Linked DNA regions of Oryzias latipes. The protein of the gene in region 1 binds, or shares a complex with, the protein of each later gene. Links are inferred from orthologs where the notes say so. Each region holds a gene or a part of one and is shown on either strand. Other genes may lie near its edges. The genes, in order: tada2a and yeats2.

What was found.
Region 2: tada2a (region 1) and yeats2 share a complex: the UniProt entries of both Homo sapiens proteins name them as parts of the ADA2A-containing complex. The link is inferred for Oryzias latipes from reciprocal best matches to the Homo sapiens genes TADA2A and YEATS2.

What each region holds. Positions count from the first base shown.
Region 1 is NC_019871.2:10,129,461-10,140,487, reverse strand, and holds the start of tada2a (transcriptional adapter 2-alpha), read right to left. Parts: upstream 6,032-11,027; 5' UTR 5,931-6,031; coding exon 5,906-5,930; intron 5,516-5,905; coding exon 5,409-5,515; intron 3,888-5,408; coding exon 3,828-3,887; intron 3,747-3,827; coding exon 3,655-3,746; intron 1,095-3,654; coding exon 937-1,094; intron 283-936; coding exon 194-282; intron 1-193. UniProt on the Homo sapiens protein: Component of the ATAC complex, a complex with histone acetyltransferase activity on histones H3 and H4. Required for the function of some acidic activation domains, which activate transcription from a distant site. Binds double-stranded DNA.
Region 2 is NC_019875.2:23,332,049-23,342,423, reverse strand, and holds part of yeats2 (YEATS domain-containing protein 2), read left to right. Parts: intron 1-438; coding exon 439-603; intron 604-1,324; coding exon 1,325-1,410; intron 1,411-1,858; coding exon 1,859-2,047; intron 2,048-2,346; coding exon 2,347-2,572; intron 2,573-2,793; coding exon 2,794-2,952; intron 2,953-3,222; coding exon 3,223-3,338; intron 3,339-5,342; coding exon 5,343-5,492; intron 5,493-5,792; coding exon 5,793-5,972; intron 5,973-6,773; coding exon 6,774-7,140; intron 7,141-7,740; coding exon 7,741-7,875; intron 7,876-8,145; coding exon 8,146-8,277; intron 8,278-8,513; coding exon 8,514-8,664; intron 8,665-9,388; coding exon 9,389-9,465; intron 9,466-9,553; coding exon 9,554-9,633; intron 9,634-10,375. UniProt on the Homo sapiens protein: Chromatin reader component of the ATAC complex, a complex with histone acetyltransferase activity on histones H3 and H4. YEATS2 specifically recognizes and binds histone H3 crotonylated at 'Lys-27' (H3K27cr).

The DNA.
Region 1 (11,027 bases):
TAAAGAGACACATGAAAGATGATTTGAGAATCCCACTGGCTTGATTAAAGTCCACAGAGCAGAAGATCTGATGCCTCAAAAGCAGCAACAAAGGCGTGAGCCTCGGTTCAATAATACTCACTCACAGCTCTGCTGTGGCAATTCATTCACATGGACAGGCTACGTTAGAACACAAAAATGACAGTGGCCTCACCTCCATGAAGTCTGCTCTGGCTGGCATGTAACCCGCCATGTCCCGAGAGAGCACCGAGTCAAATATGGGCCGGGGCGGGTCGTCACAGGCTGGAGTGTGGTGCACAAAAAAATAAAGATCTCACAGTCACTGATGTGAAGATTTTTAAACGGACTCGTGAATAAACTGTACTTGGATTTGTTTTTAAGCTCTGACACTGACTGCAACCACCTTTACCTGCTGCTCCTGTCCACATTTAGACTATTTGTAGATATAATATCATTAATCTTTTCTGGAAATTCTGAGACTGTGGAACAGCTTTCCTCTAAGAAGACTTAAAGACCCACTCCCATGAACATCACGTTTTTGGTGCTTTTACATCAATAAATAAAATGAAACATAAAATTGCATTTCTGAGTATTTCTACACAAGTAGTTGTGAATCTTAAAGAGGAGATGATCAATAAATAATATCTTCACCAATAGCCTTCAAAACAGATTTAAAACACAATTAAACCCCAAACAATCAGCTTTGCCTACGTTTAACGCATTAGCAAGCTGTCAAGGGTTCAAATCCCAGACAGTTATTGTGTGTCTTTGGGCCCTTTACCCCACATTGCCCTCATTATAGGAAACAGCTTTTTAGCGTGTCGTTTAAATGAGTAAATGTGAATGTACTGAGGTGCTTTCTTCATGCACGATGCCTTCATCTCATTCCTTCTCTGTAGAATCAAATGAAAGGAGAGTCACTATGCAGGAACATACGTTTGAAGGGGATTGCTCCTTCTGCAAAACGAGAATCTTTCGTTTTCTTCAGGCTGAGTAAGGTGGAGGAAAACAGGGGGTTGTTGATGAAATTCTTCATGTAGTGGCTCTCGCACTCCTCTTTGGTTTTTGTGCGCATCTGATATGCCACGTCCTGCCTGAGAAGAATGAACGCAGACAATTAGAGGACTTTTCTCAACATGGCATGTGTGAAAGATGATGTTTTTACGGATTAAAAGATACAAATTTGAAGTTTTAATTAAACCTGCAACTGCCTAGTATTCTGGTATTCTTATTACCTTCATTCCATTTAATTACCGTACTCAGATGTAGAGGTTCCAAAAAAAATGAATTAGCCCTTCTTTAGGCTTGAACATTTGGAACAGCATGAAGAAAATTCTTATATACCGTAATTTCCAGATGATAAGCCGCTACTTTTGTCACACGCTTTCAAACCTGCGGCTTCTTCAATGATGCGACTAATTTCTGCATTTTTATCTTTTTTTTATGCATATTTTCTAACGCCCGCTAGGGGCGCTCGAGCAGGGGGAATACGGTATATGTGTCGAGGAAGACGCAAGTTTAATGTGAATTCCCGCTTTGGGAATGAATAGCACAAAAAGACCCTCATTATAGAAAATGCAAGAAGAAATGCTTAAGCAGCTTTAAGTTAAAACCAATCGTTAAAAGCAGTGTGAAAAAATCCACCATCACCAACGGGTTTGGAAAACCCGGCTCAGGAGTGAATTTGCCTCAGAGTGACAATGACAGCGACAACGAAAGAGAGACAGAGAGAGTGTGGGGAAGAATATCTGACGCTGTTCCAATCTGACACTGAGGAGGAAAACCTCCATGGTTTCAGTGCACAGGAGGCGCGTGTCACGCAGAGGCGTGCTTATAAGTTACTGCTGCTTTCAGTGACTTTTTTTTTTCTTCTTTCAGTGACTTTTACCGGTATGTTTTTTTTTAACAAGCCCTGTTAGTGCTGTTACTACCATATTGCTGCCATGTCACAGGCACTGTTTGGAATAGAGCTGTGACGGTGTGGGATTTTTGATGACCGCTGTGATGAACACAAAATCCTCCGGCGGCTGCGTCGCAAATGAATACCGGTACAAGTACGACTGCACGATATGAAGAAAACTCGCGATATGCGATATTAGTAATTAATATTGCGATAACGATATAATTTGCAGTATATAAACAATTAGCAAAACAACCAAAAATATTATTCCCATTCCATTACAACAGCTTAAAAATTATACTACAAATGACCCTTGTTGACATAGGAGGCGAACATACAACATAATAGGGCGCCATCCGATTAGTTAACAACGTGAAGAGGTCCATCTCATTGGTCAAATGCAGAAAGGGATTCTTTCAATCCATTAAACACTTCAAGCTGCCATAAGATTGTTTGGCCACATCTAAGGTAACCATTTATTGCAAATTTGCTGTCTTTTGCGATATGCATATTGCACAGCTTGATATTGCGATAACGATAAATTTGCGGTATATTGTGCAGGCCTACGTACAAGTAATAATTACAACGCACTAATCTTTATTAACAAATAACCGTAACAACTAACTACTATCAATGAACTAACTATATTGGTGTTGTAGAATGAGTATGTGTGTGTCAGTGCACTGTGTGTGTAAGAGGAAGGAGCACTAGCAGTGCAAGAGTAAGTGACAGCCTCCCTCTAGCGCTGCACGCTCTCCCCTCTTTCTTACACACAGGGCTCGTGGTTTCAGCACATACACATCCTCATTCTACAACACATGTTTCAATGTGGGCACATGCAGCTTATGGACAGGTGCGGCTTATGTATGTACAAAATGTTTTATCCTTTAAAAATGGAATGGGTGCGGCTTATAATCAGGTGCGCTCTATATCCAGAAATGACGTTAATCTGTTCCTTTTAAAGAAGCACATTGCGACGTTAATAACAACACAAACAACAAAACTTTACATTTCTACATTTCTATCCCCTCCTTAACCCAGCTCGGTCTCAAGCTTACGTTTGTGGATGTCTTACTTCAGTTCTCTGCTTGTATTTTTTAAATATCCCATTTTTAAGCTTTTTTTTTCCAATCTATGCAACTATGCTTGTAGTTTCTTTCAATGTACTGTCCAGTGAGTTGCATAGATTGACTGCATATAGTGATATGTGTGTCTATTAGTTGTGCGTGCAAGTGGCAAATTATATTTCCTCCTGTCGCTATCGTCTTATGAAACAAAAGAAAAAACGGATTGAATGATGTTTGGGAGAATTTTCAATTTGGCTTTTAACATGAATAATAAAGTTTTTAAAAAATCAATTAAATTATTAGTGAATTCTCTGCTGCCTTTTTGTTGATTATACTAATTGCTTTTTTCTGTAAATGAAACAAAGGCTTTATATATATGGACAGAATATGCTTTTCCCCAAACTTCGAGGCAGTAACTAAATTACACTTAAATTAAAAAACAATATAACCACTGTTAAATAATATTTTCACCAATCTTCTTTTTTAAATAATTAATGTGAGATTTCCATTAAACAGCAGAAATGACTTGTAAAAATTGTCACATTTTGAAACCAAAAGACAATGAAACTAACATGACACCAATGATAAATAGCTAAATGATAAAACATTAAAAACTTGCTTTTTGAAGTTAGTAAAAATAAGTGTATTCAAAAAGAAAACACTGGTAAAATGTCTTCGACCTCTTACCAGTTCCCAAACCCGCAATCCATGACTGCCTCCAGCAGAGCCATCTCCTCCTGCGCCGTCCATCCAGGCTCCAGCACCGGGAAGTCTGAAGTCTGAGTCGAGGTAACACAAAAGATGCCCGCTAAACATGATGTTTAGCTACACCCGAGAAACTCAACTGCAGCTCCACTCACCATGATTTCATATCTGTGATCACTCTGATGCTTCTTGTATTCAAATCCTCTGGTAAAACACTGGAACGAAATAAGTTCAGGGTAAAGCTGGTCAGGTAAAAGACACGATTTGTTCATTAAATAAAAGTTCTTTGAATGCACTGAGGAGGTTTTCTTAACTGAGAAAAGTAAAACTTACATGCAAATTAAGTGAATTCATAAATTGTATCGATATGACGACCATGAAAGAAGCAGCAGTTATAATGTGGCTTATTTTTCAAATAAACCCAATCGTAAAGATCTGGTCATTTATTTCCCCATTAATTTAACAGTGAAGGAAATCATTTTGCAAAATAACAAAGTTCTAATCTAGAAAGAAAAAACAAGTGCATTTTTGGAAGTAACTAACAAAAGAATTTGTATTCAACACAGGTGTGTGAGAAAGCACAGTATTAAACCAGGTTAGACACAATTTGACTTCATCCTTTTAAATAATTTTAAAAGATTTCATAATATCAGTGTGCTATAAAACTATAATAAAGCGTCACTTTTTAAGAAACACATTTAGAAATGTGATCAACAACATTGTAATGTACTTTTAATACCCTTTTACTACAGAATGTAATACTATATTTAAAAACTGTACTTATTAATATATAGTTGATATATTTTATAGATACAAAATTAAATATGTCAATTATTTTAATTTTTAATAAAATTGTATCTATCATAGAATATTTGTAACAATAGAAAACCCTAGAAAATGTAACACTTAACACTCATAATAAAGAACATACATACAAAACATTATTTGGTTTAGCAATACGATCTAATGCTATTTGAACAAATTCAAAATTCAGAGTGCAAAAGTATTTTAATTTGTGCTACATGATTTTTTCTCAAATGTAATAATGTTTCTAAGGCAATAAATATATTATTTAATAATGGATGTAAGACTTACCGTATATCCTCCAATAATAGCCCTGACATTAATTGAAGACCAGCCACTATTGGAAGATATATGGTATTGGCAATGTAAAAAATAAATAAAACAATTGTTAAGAAACAGGATAATCAGTGGAACATGAAAGAACTGGACGGAACACCCTGACACCTCTTTATTATACACTGCCGTGGGATGGCATCATGTTCTTTCATTTGAATTTTTTTTCTCAAATCAGGTATAGTAGTTAGAAATCTGTGGAAGGCGATCAGTGCTGGGCGGGCACTGATGTGGAAACCTCCAGAAGTTCCAAAAATAAGGGTCAATCAATGGCTACAGAAATAAAAGCAGTTTGGCTATTTGGAAAACCTTGCATACCTTCTGCTGCTCATTGCACAAATGCGCGTTCCTCACAAATATGGACTCATTTAAAATATAAAGCAAACTAATTTTGCAGAAGTCTAACATTTATTGCCAAGAAGTTTTGCAACAACAACAAGGAAATACTGGGCTAAAAAAAAAAATCGTAAGGTTTTGTCCAAAGTGTTTAAACTGTGGTCTGTCTGCGTAAAGTTACAGCTGAGTTATTCGGTTTGTGTTCAAACACACATTCTAAAGAGCCAAAACAAACAAATTATAAGCATCCTCATCTGGCTTACCTGAAGACACAACAAAAAAGGTGAAGGTCCACATTCTGCGCACTTGATGTATGGTTCGGTTAGATGGGATGAGCAGCCTCTGCAAGGCGGTTTATCAAAGGGGTCATCTAAAATGAACAGAATAATTATATATATATTATCAGTAACAGTTTTAATAGTAACAACACGCAGTTAAAAAAGATACATATAGCCTAAAGTCGTGATTTTGGGGCAAACTTGAATGCACAAAACAGATGTTATCTTGGGCGAAGGACTAGCTTTACTAGTCGAGCTTGAAAATGATGATAATGTTGAATGTCTCAACAACAGGTCGAATATTTTCAACAAATCACTGCGGCAAACAAAAATAGCATTGTTTTTGACGGCGATGCTAATGCTAAAGATAGCTTAGCAGACCTTGCTTTATGGACAAAAACAGCTAACCTTCCAAAAAGTCGATGGATACTTGGTAAAACTGCAATAAATTCAACTGTGTGTATAATAATGCCAATACGTACCTGAAAAAGACGCTATTCGGTCCATTTAATTGCTATTTGCTTCTCAATAACAACACCAAAATTGAATTTGGGTCGATCTGTTTTTCAGAACTCGGCTATGTGCCTGATGACGTCATAACTAATCGAGCTCCGAATATCGATAGTTTTGGTCGTGTATCACCACACAAAATGATATATATACTATTATGTTTTAATAGTTGTGTGCCATGTCCTCATAGGTTCTTACAAAGGCAGAAGAAACTCAAAAATTTGAACAGAAAACAAATGTTGTTTAAAAAAATGTATGAAATATATAAAAAAGCCACATGGAATATTGCATTTTAATGCAAAATGATTTTTATAAAAAGGTATTTCATCTTTAACTTTCTTTTCCTTCTCTTAAGATTTTTGTTTTACATTTATTTTGCAATGGGGAGAGATTTTAACTTGTTTTTAGTTTCTCCATCTCATCACCATGACGACAGTACTTCCCTATATTGCCACAAGGTGCTGATCTTGCTCTATGTCTCTTAAGGCAACAATGAGCACCCTGAAAGCCTTTGTCTCCCTCCCAGCACAGATGATTACCTGAGGCTTGCATAAGCATCATGTGAGAAATAGAAATAAAGATGATGAATGTTCTGTGTCACAACACCCCCATGCTGCTTTTTGTCCTCCATAAACTTTTTGCAGAGGTGCTGCCTGGCCTGCAAAAGGCTTCAAGACATTTTCTTTAATATGAAAACCAGCAAATATTTATGAGTACCAATGTTTTCCAGTGCCTGTGTCCAGGTTTGGCACCCCCAATTCAAAAACAGCTCAAACACCCTCAAGAGCATGCCAGTGAGGGCCCATGAGGAGCCTTAGGAAAACAAATATCTGAAACCCTAATGCATAAAACTGCAAATCCACATGTGCCAAACTCACTTAAAGGTAGAAAAAATAAGTATTTGAGTGAAATGACTGATTTAGTACAGATGTGGCTGGAAAAAGGACTGTTTGATTTTCATGAAACCTCTTAACCTCTCTGCAGTTACTAATTATGACAGTTTTTATTCTAATATTTGCATTTCTGTCATTGATACCAGAAAATCTGATTCCTTCTTTCTTTGAGGTGATTCAGAGCAAATATATTTAGACTGCAAATCCCCACAGAGGATGAGGGCAGCTTCCTAAACCACATGATGGGTTAACTCTGAATGGGCTGCTCTGTTCCAGCTTGCTTGAGCCTTCTCTGTGAGTTCAATACATCCTGATTGGTCTGTTCGGTAGCATCCTAGCCTGCGACTCATCTCTGGAGCCTCTAGGGAGAGACACGGTTTTTAACGATAGTCTGTGTATGTTAAGGAGATGCACGCACACTCTTACTCTTTTGGAGGAATTTCCAGCTCACCGTCATACTAGCTTGTAATCATCCTTTGAGAGGGTCATGATTTATTCACCTATGAGGAGAGACTTCTCCTTTTTGTGTAACGGTTTGCTGTTGTGTGTTGAGCCAGAGTGAGCTTCCTTTTTTGTTCCTGGCTGCAGCATTCACACCACATGCCCACAAGTGTGTGATCAAACGTGGCTATAAAGGCCACAACTTTTCAGGACTATCTCAGCAGAAGAGCCCTTCTATCAACTGTTTGTTTCACTAAATTATTAAATTCGGAATAAATTGATCAGGAATTAGAAGATTTTTGGATGTCATTTATTATTGTTCAAGTGTTTTTTTTAAAACATTTCTCTATTCAAATTTAATTGATCCAACATGCACTCAGTATATTTGTTTGTTATTCTTAGAACTTTGTAAAGTTCATGCTTTTTTTGTTTTAAAGGTCTATTTAACAGCCTTAAAGATTCTAAGGAGGCCTAAAATCGGCTGAAATGGCATGAGACCAATCTGGGGACTTTTTGAGAGATTTTTACGGTGACCATAATAATTTATCTTTATAACCGTTTTATGTGTCAATTTTAATATCCATTGTTTTAGTAAAACCCCAGATTATTTTCTTTCCTTGATATTCCTCATCATATTGAACAGCAATTTCACCACAAACCTGAAACTGACCTGAGTGGTAAAGTTAGTCCTTTTTTACTGCAAAAAAAACATCAAAAAATGTAATCAAATTGTTTTTTTATGTCTCATGGCAAAGCTTGAACATATACAGACAAAATAAAAAAATTATTTTTCCAAAAACAAAGCAAAGATATGATCAAAACAAAGAGAAAAATGTCTAATAAAACCAGACAAAGCTCCACAAAGCTATATGTTTAAGGGATTTGTTTCAAGGGGTATCTTAATTATGTGTCATAACAGTTGTCATGATTGGTCTGAACCAAAAGTTTTAAAGCTAAAAACCTTTTGAAAACCTTCATTTTGGGTGAAGAATATGCTAATGAGGGATCATTGTCATTCCTATGTCATCGTAAACAGCAAATGTGATTGTCCTTCCTACTACTGATCGTTAAATTATTCTGTAATGAACTTACTGTACAAGGCATAAAATGTTCATTTTTTTCTGCTGGGATGCTGGCATTTCATAGATGTGTGTTGGCTAAAAGACACGTCTGTGCCCAGCAGTTGCATTTAATTAAGTACAATTGTATGTGTAAGGACCATTTGAAATGTCACGGTCAGGATTTGCATTAGCACACAGTAGGAATTCACATCTTGGCAGGAAATGCAGAATGAATGCATTTTCCATACGGACAGTAACAAAGAAAAGCGTGTCAGATTTGTAGAGAGACGTGTGTGCTCCCCTGCGATGGCCTCTGCTTCAGCATCACCGCCTTGGGGGGAGGCACAGGACCGTCTGACTCTTCATCCCTGTTCCACCTCCTCCCTTCCTCCGGCGCCTTTACGCAGCAAAAATCTTTTTCTGCTACAGCTGTTTGCCAAAATATAACTGAAGCCCGACTCTTAAAATAAAAAATGCCCCCCCTTTAGTGCACACGTCTTTTCTTCCAGCAAATGCACCTCCCAGCTGCTGTGATTTAAATATAAGGGCCCCGTGAAGAAAAGAGGGCATCTGGCACACGCCTTCAGGGCCTTGACAAAAAAAAAAAGCACCAAACAAAGCAGTTAATCTGCTCCTGCCAATGAAAAATCCTAGAATACAAATGGGTCAATTCGGAACATAAGGAGAAGGAATGGACACAGGCCATTGAAAAAAGTCTGGACAAAAGACAAAAGGAGGAGGACAAGTGCAGGACAGACAGCCTCAATCAAAGATTTATATTCACTGTAGCAGCAGAGCTGATGACATTTATTAAGCTGCGCTATTCTTACTGTGGCAAACCAGCTTCTTTCAGGAGAAGGCGTTTTCTTGAAGCTTTTTTATAAACGTTTAAAAAAAATGTAAAAACATTTTGTGATTTGTGATCAAATCTGATAACTTGAGTCAGTTTCTCATCCATAGACAACAAAACTCTGAAAAAAGGGTTAATATATACATTTATTATGTCTTTTCCGATGTTCAAGAAACAAAATTAACTTAAAAAAAATATTATTTATTTTGAGAATAAACCAAGACATATAACAAGTACTAGTTCAATAAAGTTCACAGTGTCTGTATCGACAACTGAAATCTTAGGCTCTTCTTTTATCGGACACCCGTGTCTGATAAAAGATAAACATAATATCATATAACAAGTACATTGGAAAAAATACAAAATCTCATCAAGTATTTTTATCTAGCTTTTATTATCCCTTTATACTTGACATAAGACAAAACTAACTTAACAGTAACTGTACAGTACGCTGTTATGACTTGTTTTAAGACAATACATCTTGAATTTTTGGTTGAGTCATTTAATCTTGAATTCTTGAACAAAACACTTTTTCAAACTTTTCTTGTAAGCTAAAGTTTTATTTTTGAAAGCTCTTATTTAACTGACTTTCTTGATTTCGTTTTATTTACATATATATTTTAAAACATATTTATTTTAAAATTTGCAGCTCTAAATAGTATTCTTATTTTTTGGTGAAATGGTCTAGAAATAAGGATAGTTGGATAGTTGCTGTAGTATTTAAAATTGGATGTATTTTGGAGGACAAGTGTCTAAATATACATACTTGCTAAAGATGCTAAACTTTTTATGAGCAAAACACGCCTGGTTTAAGAAATCATTTTTCCAATTACCAGAGCAATACACTTTAATATGAATGTTTAAAGCCTATTTCAAGCTTTATTTAATCTAAAAGGGCAAAACAATTAGTTCTATTGGCAGATTTTTTTCAATTATAACAACAGAGAAATGTCTTGTTCTTTTTTTTCTGTGAGAAAGACTTTTTTCCAGAGTAGCACGAAAAAGTGCAACATACAAAAGACCTGATGCCCGAAAAATAAAAAAACTAAAGTCTTTAATACTGAACAGGACTTCCCAGTTGAAACAGGATAACTTGATAATTAGAAACTAAGATCTGGTGTAACAGTAACTTGGGGGAAGACCCAAAACAGAACTTAAAGACTAAATAAGATTACATCAAATGCCAAAAACTAAACACGACTGAGCAAATCTAAAGAACAAAACACCAAAAAGATAAAGCAAAGAAAGCAGTGTCAGCGTTCTAACGTGGGCAGATGTACACGTTTGTGTGTGCAGTCAAAAACACAAAGACACAGTGGAGCAGCTGTCAAGTGGCAGACAGCATCCTTTGTTCAATGACAGATTTTAACAGCAGCTCCACTGCATATTGCCACACACTCACGTTCCAGATTTGCTGTTAACTACTTTCATGTTTTTGGTTCCTGACTTAGAAGAGATGGTAGGAAAAGCGGACAAACCAGAGAACCAAATCTCGACAGAAGAGTGTCTCAATCTGGAGGAATCCCCACATGACAGAAGTAACTCAAAATCCCGTCTTAAGACTCAGAGCTAAGTGTGTTGACTCAGTTACATTAAATAGTGTAGTTTTTTCTGCCTGGAAGCCTCCACCAGCCTTGACTTTCAAGTGTTTTCCAAGCTGTTGACACACAACTGCACACTTCACATTTAAACGCAGCCACAAAACTATTCAACCATCCAAGCAAACGTGACTTTTTTCCAGAGTACTTGGTTTGATCTGAATAAATCAACAAAAAAACAAAAAAAGCGTCAACAAAAATATGTGTCATCATTCGCTTTTGCTGATGAAAGGTTCCCCCTTCACATGTGT
Region 2 (10,375 bases), on another chromosome or scaffold:
AACCTTTTTTTGTCTTTTATGTTCTAACCCTCATCTGAGATCATAAATGTTGGGTACCCAAAATACCAACTGTCTGGTATCGGGTCATGATGCAGTTTAGACACGTAGGGCTCCAGAATGGACTGATTATGGTTAGGAGTGTTCTCTTGGGAAAGCCTACCCCCTTAAGAGCTAAAGGAGACATCTGATGAGGAGGTCCAGTAATGAAGTCCTAGATGAGCTGCCAAAAAAAAGCACCCCATGAAAAAGAACAGTCAAATTTAGAGGTGTTAAAAGCTTAAAATATTTCATGAAATTGGTGTGATTAACAGTTGATGTTCTTTAGACTATCTTAGCCCTCAAGTTCTCTTCCATTTCAATTCCTCCAATATCTTTGACATATAAAACACCAAAAGATTTACTCTGTATCTGTTTACTGGTACATCTTCTCATCTATAGGCTCCCCCATCTCCACCCCAAGCCACTCTCCCCTGCCTCGCACACCCATCGCCTCCACCCCCGCTCACACCAAGGATGGCTCCTCTGTGCTCAACAACCCTTATATCATAGTAGACAAACCTGGCCAAATGATCGGCATGACTTCCTCGTCTGCTGGGCCCACAGGTACAAATCTTTTTGTCAGTGCTGCCGATGCTCCACAGAGTTTAAAAGCAAACCTCTAAGATGCCCTTGAAAACGTTTAATGGCTACAGAGAATGGAAAGTACAGCAAATGATCAAATCTGGAAGATTTTTTTTCTGCACATCTCTGCACCCAAAGCCTCTTGTCTGTTCTTCTCTTTAATATTTTAAAAAATATTTGATAGTATTTTTGTCTGTGGGTTTCGTTTTCTAATGAGTGACGTGAGGTGAAACAGCAGAATAGCTGCTGGCTCTGAGATTACCATGGCAACAGCGCTGTGGTAGTTCATGATCAGGGCAGGAGAACATCTTAAAAATCCTTTTGCTCTTTTGAGAAAAGATGAATTAGAAGTACTTTTTTGCTCCATGGAGTGCAGGCTGCTTCATGATCACAGATCTATTTTACACATCAGAAACTTGGGTAACCATTGCACCATTGGAGCTCTTTCTCTTATGTTGTGCTATTATATCCACTTAGACACTCCTACGCTTCCTCCACGAGTTCAAACATCAGTCAGATCTAGTTTTGGGATTGGAGCGGTAGTAATGATTTCCCTCAGGATTATGTTGATATGAGTGTCATGGGGGGGTGGGGTCGATTCTCCGAACCTGCAGCTCTACTTCTACATGGAGTGCAGTTAAATGTCCGCTTTAGCATTATCAATAAAGTTATTGCTCATTTTTGTCCATATTCTGTTACATAGGAAGCCCTACAAGCAAACAGGGTCAAGGCACACGCTCCCCAGCACCTAAAGTTCACACCGGCACCTTGCTGTCCTCAGGAGTGAAGGTGAGTTAGCCACGTTTTAGACGAAAGCACATTTTTTTGAGGGATTTATCCATCCTCCAGCCTGTCCCTGTAGCATTTGCCTCTCCAGCAAAGCAGTGTGTATTAATAGTAGGCTGGGGAACTGCCTTCTGCAGATGTGAGCCCTTCAGCAGCTATTTAAATAGGGCATCTTTGTGAAGATGGGGGTGGGGGTGTGGGAAGCTCTGTAGAGAGAATTACTCGGTTCAGCTTCACACCAAATGTCTTGACAGCCTGCAGTAAAGTGATTGCGCTGCCACTTGTTGCCATCCTTTTGATTATTCTGTGATTTTACTTTGAAATTCTCTTCTAATACAGTTTTAGTCCTGTCACCGTTTAGTCCAACATTCTTCGACATGTTCACAAAAGCGACTGTTATTTTTTGCAAGAACAGTCATCTTTTAAAACATTTCTTGTGTTTCTTGTTCAGGTTATTATCAAACAGGAGCCAGGGGAAGTTTCAACAGCGCAGCAGCAGCAGATGGTTTCCACGGTAACCAGCCAGCAGCAACCTTCTGCTGCAGCAGCTCACCAGTTGGTTGCAATGAAAGGAGGTCACATGATCTCCATGACGGCTCAGAAACAGGCCGGAGGAGCCACAGGGTCCACAACAAGCAAGGTCAGACATTCCTGCATAGATCCAGACAGTAACCAGGAGGATCTACCTGAATTGCGTCCAAAAAGCCAAGTTTAGCTTCCAGATCCCAAAAGAAAACAGTCTGATGAGATTTGACGGAACAAGGAAAAATAAGATCTATAATGTTTTAAAAACTTGTTTCAGGCTTTAAACTTTTGAAAGATCAAGTACTGCAGTCTTTTTTTTCTTGCTCTCACTCATCATTATTTTTCATTCCCAAACACAGTAACTCCTAAACATTTCTTTTCATTTGTTTCTCTCTCCCCTTCTTCTCTTTGTAGATGTTGGGGATTCCTGTTGGCTCCACACTTCAATCTTCGGTTAAGCAAGTTGCCATCAGCAGTGGGCAAATTCTGGTTGCCAAGGGCAACCCCGGTTCCAAAGTGATGGGAGGCAAGCAGGTTTTGGCTCAGGGAGTTGCTAAAGCCATCGTCAGTGGAGGCAGCGCCTTGTCAGGCCAGCAGGGCGGCGCCAAGACAGCTGGTGGTTCAGGGGGCAAAAGTGGAGGTTTGAACTCACAGACATGACTGACATTTAGATTCACTATGATAAACCTTTACATCTTAGCTTATAGGAAATTAGCTCTTTTTATCTCAAACATTTAGATTCTGTAATATTGTAAACCTTGAATTGTAAATAAACACCTTTCTGAAAAATCAGACACTTTTGGTTTTACACCCTTCTTCCTTTTACCTTGATCTGTACACCGTCTTTTGTATTTTTTACAGTAATGGCTACTCTGCAGCTTCCAGCCAACAACTTGGCGAATTTGGCCAATTTGCCTCCTGGCACCAAACTTTATCTGACGACCAACAGTAAGAACCCATCAGGGAAAGGAAAGCTGCTGCTGATACCACAGGGAGCCATTCTCCGAGCATCTAGTGCAAGTAAGACATCCTCAAACTTATGTTTATGCCTTTAAGTACAAAGAAACCTCCACATTATTTAGATCTGTTTCAGTTATACTACACACTTATTATCCTATTAGTTTTAAATAGCTGCTTTGTTTGTACTTTTGTCCAACAATTCACTTTATCAATCTTAGTTTTATGCTTTTATGAATTGAGAACCACAAAGCTGATTGATTACTAAATATTAAAGTGTAATAGGATTGTTTACCTGATTTAAAAATGTCCTGTCGTCTGCGTGGAATTAAGGTCAGCAGTCCCAGAGCAGCTCCTCTGGAGGCGCAGGAGGTTCCCAGAGCTCCTCTTCCAGCAATCTTACTTCAAACCTGTCCTACACATCCTACATCCTTAAACAGACCCCACAGGTAGTTACACTCTTGTTTTTTTATATAAATAACTACCGTAATTTCCGGACTACAAGCCGCTACTTTTTTCCTGCGCTTACAGCCCTGCGGCTTATTCAGTGACGCGGCTAATTTATGGATTTAATTAGCGGCCGCCATGTACGTACTTTCGAACTCAGTGAATAGTTTGAATTCTTTATCTAACACCAAGCACAAGGCATTTATATTCAACACACCTTTAAGCAGCCAAACAGCATGGACTTGACTTCAGGTCTTAGACACTTCAGTCATGGTTCAACAAAACGAAACACGCATGCCCGGCCGCATCCCAGAACCCTTTGGTGCCATTAGACCCAACGTGCACGTGATCGCCGCTACAATATGATGAAGCTTTCAAGTTAAAAGCAATCGTTAAAAGCAGCATAAAAAAGTCCACCGTCACCAACGGGTTTGGAAAAGCCGGTTTCCTGCGTGACGGAGAGAACAGCGCATGGAGTGAATTTACACTCCATTTACGGTTTCTAAGGAAACCGTAAAAGCGGAATTTTGCTTTGAAAAATTCACAGCCTCCGTGTGAGCTGGAGACATCTCCTGCTGATTGAGCTGCGGGGCCGATGGCAGTCCCACGTAACAACGCACCCGCCCCTCATACACAAAACGTACAGTATTAAGTCCGATTGCTTTGCACTGAAACGATTTGCTCCATCCACCGGCGCAACGGGGACGAAGTGCTCCTCCTTGAAGCCGCCCTGGCCAGAGGTGTCAGAGTAGATAGGAAGGGGAGACAAGGAGCGCGCGGGGCGGGAGCGGAGCGCAGAGGCTTCTGAATTCTGACGCACGCGCCGCACTGAGGCGCGCGTATCACGCTGAGGCGCGCGCTTTTCAGTCAGTCGCCGCTGCTGTATTTTACCGGTGTGTTTTTTAACCAGCCCTGTTACTCCCATAACGCTGCCGCGACACAAGCGGAAGGAGAGCTTTTCCCGTTCACCCCTCCATGCACTGCTGATACTTGCTCATTCTTAAACACGTACAACAGAATGGCGAGCCGGGCATTGGCCCCGCCTTTAGCCCCTAAGACTCATGGGAAATGTGGAATCGCAGATGTAAATTTCCTCATCATAACTGAGGGATGTAATGTTGATTATATGGTTACTGTTTGTAATTTTATGTATGATACCTAGATTGTCAATAAGTAAAAAAAAAAATGAAATAAAAACACCATAACTGAGGAACTTGTGAACAGAATAGAGGTCCATGCTGTTTGACAGATGTCGATACTCAAATACATGAGCCTGAGGCAAAGCTGGCACCACCCACAATGTGCTAATGAATTGCACTCACTCTGGGATGCTGGCCGTGATCTGTCAGGATGACAATATCGCCTAACACATGCTCGGCTTGTACTCTGACGCGGCTTGTGTATGTGTAAAACTAATTAAACACGTGAAAGTGGGTGGGTGCGGCTTGTAATCGGGTGCGCTTTGTAGTCCGGAATTTACGGTAGTTGGAATTACATAGCATTGTCATTGTTCTACATTTCTGTTGGAGATTGTTTGGAATTCACAGCAGCAAGGTTTCTTTATTGACTGTCAGTCGTGTGTTTCTGCATGCATTCTCATGAACCCTCTTCATAATACTGCCTGTTCTTCTCTGTAAAGAAATGGCTCCCTGTCCCGGCTTTTTATCTGCTGCTTGTTCTAAAAATTCTTCTATGGGCTCCACTTTCAACAACACAAAAGATGGAAGAATAGGAAAATAAAAATGTCCTTTGAAATCTCATTTTTCTTGAGTATGGCTTTGTTAGCTGTTTACAGAGTTGCTTAAGATCAAATTCTAGTGCGACAGCAGATTTTCAGCTTAATGTTCACTTCTAGATCAGCTTGTTTGGACAGTGGAAAGCATTGAGGTTCTTTTTTAACATCCATATGCCTTCAGAGAGAGCACTTGTTTATTTTTCCCTTTTGTAACTTCTGCTGTTACTGTCCTTCCCACGCCCACGTCCAAACCTAACTTTGTGCTTCGAAGGGCACATTTCTGGTTGGGCAGCCAGCGCAGGGGGCTGCGAAACAGGGGGGTGCCAGCTCAGCAGCTCATTCAGCAGCTTCTCCAGCTGCAGCTGCTACCCAGCAGGCCATTCGGGTCACAGCTGGACAGAAAGCAGCCATCTTGGCTCAGGTGAGTGAACATCCCTGATATCAGGCCTTTACTGCTACCTTTAGTATTTTTTTTAAGCTAAACTGTTGTTCATGAAGATTTTCATAAGCAGCCTGAAGCGAGTCTTTATAAAATGTTTAAAAAAACAGAAAAGGTTTTCCAAAAGAGCTAAACTAAGGAATTGTTTTTTTCAACTCTGAATTCCTTTAATCATGATGTTTTAATCCTGTAGTGCAAATAAATCCTGTTTTAAATAAATTTCTAAATAGTTATAAATGTGTATCCTTTGACACCTCCCCGTTGTGTTTTTTTTACTGGCAGGTGGTGGGCTCCACCCAGGGCGCCCAGCTTAAGCTGTCTGACGGCTCCGTCAAGACCGTGACATCAGCAGGAGCCGGTCACATGTCCAAGTTGGGTACCACCACTCTGAGGATGACGGGCGGAGTCATCACTACTTCAAGCTCCACCCCTGCCAGCACTGCAGCAGCCAATCAGCAACAGGTTGGCTTCATTACAATTTAATAATAGCAATGTAAAGCAAACTTGTTAATCTCAAAAGTTTCTTTAGTTTTATTTACATTTTGTATTTTTTTGTAAAAATGTAAGAAAAGTCAGCATCTTCTAAACAATTAGATTTTATGTTTTGAGCATAAGCAGCTTCTTGGATATTGAATGACATTATTGACCGTCTCTGAAAGCAGAGATGAGTTTGTTGTCTTGTTTAGGAGGGATTGAAAGATTTACAGCATATTTGGCGCCTGTAGGTAGTAGTTATCAGTGCTGCATGTGGGGGCAGAGGGCTCTTCTGTTGTTGTTAAATCCATGGGTGTCATAGTGACCTGAGCATCAGATCTCACTCAAAGGGCTGCACAACAATAAAAACTGAGAGTGAGGAGAAGTTGTTCTGTGCCATGTTTGCTAAATCTTCTTTTTAGTTTTACAGCCCAAACCCACCTGCGGAAAATTCAACTTTTTCCTTTCTTTTGTTGTTGTAGTGGTCTGCAGTTCTACAAAGAATTTGAACGGCAATTCCTTCATATTTAAATTTAGTTTTAAAGGATTTTTCTCTTAAAAAACTTTGAAGAATTCAGTCTTTGTGCCTCAGTAAAACACAGATTTATGTGTAAACACAGATATGTTTAGATAAGGAAACCCTAACACCTCCCTAAAAGGCAAAAAGCCACTGTGTTTTTAAAAACACAGATGAGGTTCTGAATTTGGGGTATTTTGGTTAGAACCACTTTAAATGAGTTCTTGTGTTTTTGTTCATTTCCTGGTTGTGTTTCTCTTGTGTGTTCATAGACGGCTGATAGTGGGAAGTCGGCCTCTCAGCAGCAGTCTCTTCTGGTGGCGGCCAACCAGGCGGCGGTAATCAGTGCAGCCAAGAACTCCAGTGCTGCTGGAGGCGGGAATACGTCCAAAGCTGCTGCATTGAACTCCTCTGGGAAAGGGGCTGGTATCGCTGCGGCAGGAACCAAAACCGCTGTTGGCGCGGCAGTTTCTGCTGCAAAGGGGGTCACAAGCATGCCTGTTGTTGGGATGTCAAAAGGAGGCGGGGTCGGGGCCGTAGTGAGTGTACCCAAAAGCAGCAGCGCCTCCTTGGTTTCTGCAGCATCATTAGTAAGCGGCGTGGCGTCTGGAGGAGGAAGGACTGGTGCAACTCTATCAGGTAGATAGACATGATTTAATGCAACAGTTACTAACTTTTATTGAGCATTAACAGATAGAATTGGGTTTAATTGCCAAAATACTGAATTGGTTTGATTCAAGTATTCATTTAAAACCGATGTTCAGTTATAAATAACACTTTTTTAAATGTTCAAAAAACTGAACAAAAGTGGTTAAAATGTAAAAGTCAAGTAACTAGAAGCTTAAAAATAAACACAAAATGAAGTAAGGACTGGTTCAAAAATTATTTTTAGTTGTTTTTTTCTCTTTGTAACCCGCAAAGAAAATCTAGATAAAACAAAAAAATAAATCTTTGGATGCCAGAATACTAAAGACTAGGAATAATTGTAGATTTAAAACAGCTTCATACTTTTTAGGTTGTTCTTTAACTAGATTGATTTGAAAGTTTTCTTCCTCTCCCCCATCATGTTCCTGATTGGCTGGTGTTTAAGCATCAAATGCTCCATGGTATTTCGCACACCTCATTCAATAAAGTTCCTTGTCTGCTTATCGTTTTAATCTCCATTTGTTTGTCTGGATATTAGAGCTACAGAACATGGAAGGAGAGCTGACACACACATTTTCCTCGTATGTTTTTCAGGGATGCTGAAGATCCACTCTGGAGCTTCCGGCTCCCAGCAGACGGTCTTAACTATTCCTGCCAACCAGCTCAAGCAGCTGAGCGTCGGCAGCGTTTCTGGTGGACTGCAGACTATTTTCATGCCTGTTGGGAAAGGTAAAACTTTCACATCGACTTTCTTTAAAAAAAAAAAAAAAACCTTTTCAGTTGCATGATTTTCAGAGAGAAATCCTCTTTTTAGTTACAAATGATTTCCGTCTTCAAATAAGACAAAGTTAAAGTGGTTATAGAGATGAAGAAAGACATCGTTTATGTAGGAACAAAAACCCTTTAAATGATTTCCACTCATCTTTCATCTACATACATGTAAAGCCTGTTTCCCTAAAGGGCAAATGCTCCATCCGTGTGTATTTCCTGTGTGTATAGTGGTGGCTAAAGGCCCAGTCTCCAGTACTGCTTCCTCCTCATCATCAGCAACCCCTGGAACAGCTGGGACTGGAGCCTCCCCAAGTCCTGCTAGCCAACAACCCCCCTCCCTTGCCCTGCCTCTGGCACAAGGTGAGAGGGGATCATCCTCACTTCATCTTCATACTTTAATGTATTTGGTTAGGCTGTGTCGGGCTTAGGAAGGATGCAATCACTTTAATATTTTTTTTATATCAAAAATCAAGTATTGTAACGAACCCATCATGTAACACCCATTCCCTGTCATTTCACATTTCCCTTTCCTCTTTGTGTTTATTTGGTTTGGATCTTCTGCTGGAAATGAACGCTTCTGCTCTCTGCTGTAACAGTGAAAACAGAGCCGGGGGCTTGTCCATCTGTGTCAGCCTGCCCTTCGCCCCCAGTGGCTGGCGCTGCCCCCACCTCTGTCCACGTTACCTCAGCCACCACCACGGTCAAGCAGGAGCAAGGAGCGGAGAGCGCCGCCCACGACCTCATCAAGTAATGCAAAGAAGGGTCGTAGTTTTAGCATCACGTTTACCGCAGACTCTGATAGAGTACCGAAAATATTAGTTGCTCTCCTCCTTTTAAATTTTCCATTTAATCTAAGACTAAAAATATTTTAAACGTTTTTTTATTGCCTTTTCTTATTCCTTTTAATTCATATATTTTTAAATAGTATGAATCGCTAACAGTGTTAGCTGCAAAGCTAATTTTCAACTGTAGTCGCTGGGAAAGTCGTAGGTTTACCAACAACAAACACCAAAAACACACAAAATCTACAATAAAAGTGACAAATAATACAAGAGTTTGAAAGTTGAAGTAGTCTCTACACATGTCAAATTAATAAAAACTCACTCAAAACCATGAGTTAAAAGAGAAGTATCACGGTGAATGACAACAAGCAACGTTTGAAAAGGACTTTGGATTACGTTGAACAGCTTATCAAGTCTAATTCTGCCTTTTTTGTAAAATAAAATGTATACAAACTGTAATTTTACAAAATTACTAGAAGAAAAACACAAACACCGAAAATAATCAATTATGGTCAAATGATAAATAAAAAAATGGATAAATACAGAAAAGAAAAATAACATTTAGACAATAAAAAAAACCTAAAGTTTAGACAGGTTTTTTTTTTAAGTAGAACTGATTTGTATGGTTTGTGAATATTAAGAAAACAAAACACAACAGTTAAACTACACTTGGCTCACTTTCGTTGCAGCACTGAGCACATAGAGACCATGATGCAGCTGCTGACTGCTGTTGTGAAGAAGTTCCCTTTAATTGTGCCAGAAAAAAGTAAGTTTGCTTTCTTTCCAGGTGATCCAACAAAGAACACAGATTTTTTTTCTCTCCAGCTGTCTGAATATTCTTTTTCTGTGTTTAGCTGAAGACTCCCACCAGTTTTGTGCCTCCTCGATGGAACAGTATTATTCCTGGAACATTGGCAAGCGGCGAGCATCAGAGGTAACTTTATGCTTCTTATCAATTGTTTTTCTAAAAACTAAAAATCTTTCCATGTCTGCACCTGTCAGGAAAACTGAAGTGAGTCAGAAAAAGCAGAAACGTGTCATTAGACAGAGCTGCATTTCTAACTTTATGAAAATTTGTCATTTTTACATTATTGCACCAAATCACCCATAGATGCAGTTAGAAAGGATACTAGTCTGGTCTGAACCTTCCATTCAACAAATCACATCTGCCAGAAAATATCTGAAAATATTCTGCTCCCCTCTGATCCTTCTGATCCTAAAATGATGAAGTTGAATGGATACAGTGATCCCTCGCTTTGTTGCGCTTCACCTTTCACTTCATCTTTCTTTTTTTCTTTTTTTCAAAGCGCACTGTGCTCTGTGTCCTAATTGGCTGTTGGCCTTGTCAGTCAATCAATATCTTTGGTGACATGTCTGCTGTACAGAGTTATCTAAATCTTTGTGATGAGATCTCTGTTTCTATTCTATAATCCTGAAAATAAATTGTGAATTTTAAAAGTTTAAACAAGAGAGAATAGTGTGAAAATGTTCATGTCAGACTTGAGAAAAGGTGTTTAAAGTGTGCAGTGAGTTGTTTACGGTCTTAAAACATCTGGACATCCTACTTTGCGACTTACATCCATCCCAGGTTATTTATGGAACATATCCCCCACGATAAACAACAGAACACTGTGTTTCAAAGTCAGTTTTGTTCTTTTGTGTGGTTTGGTTTACAC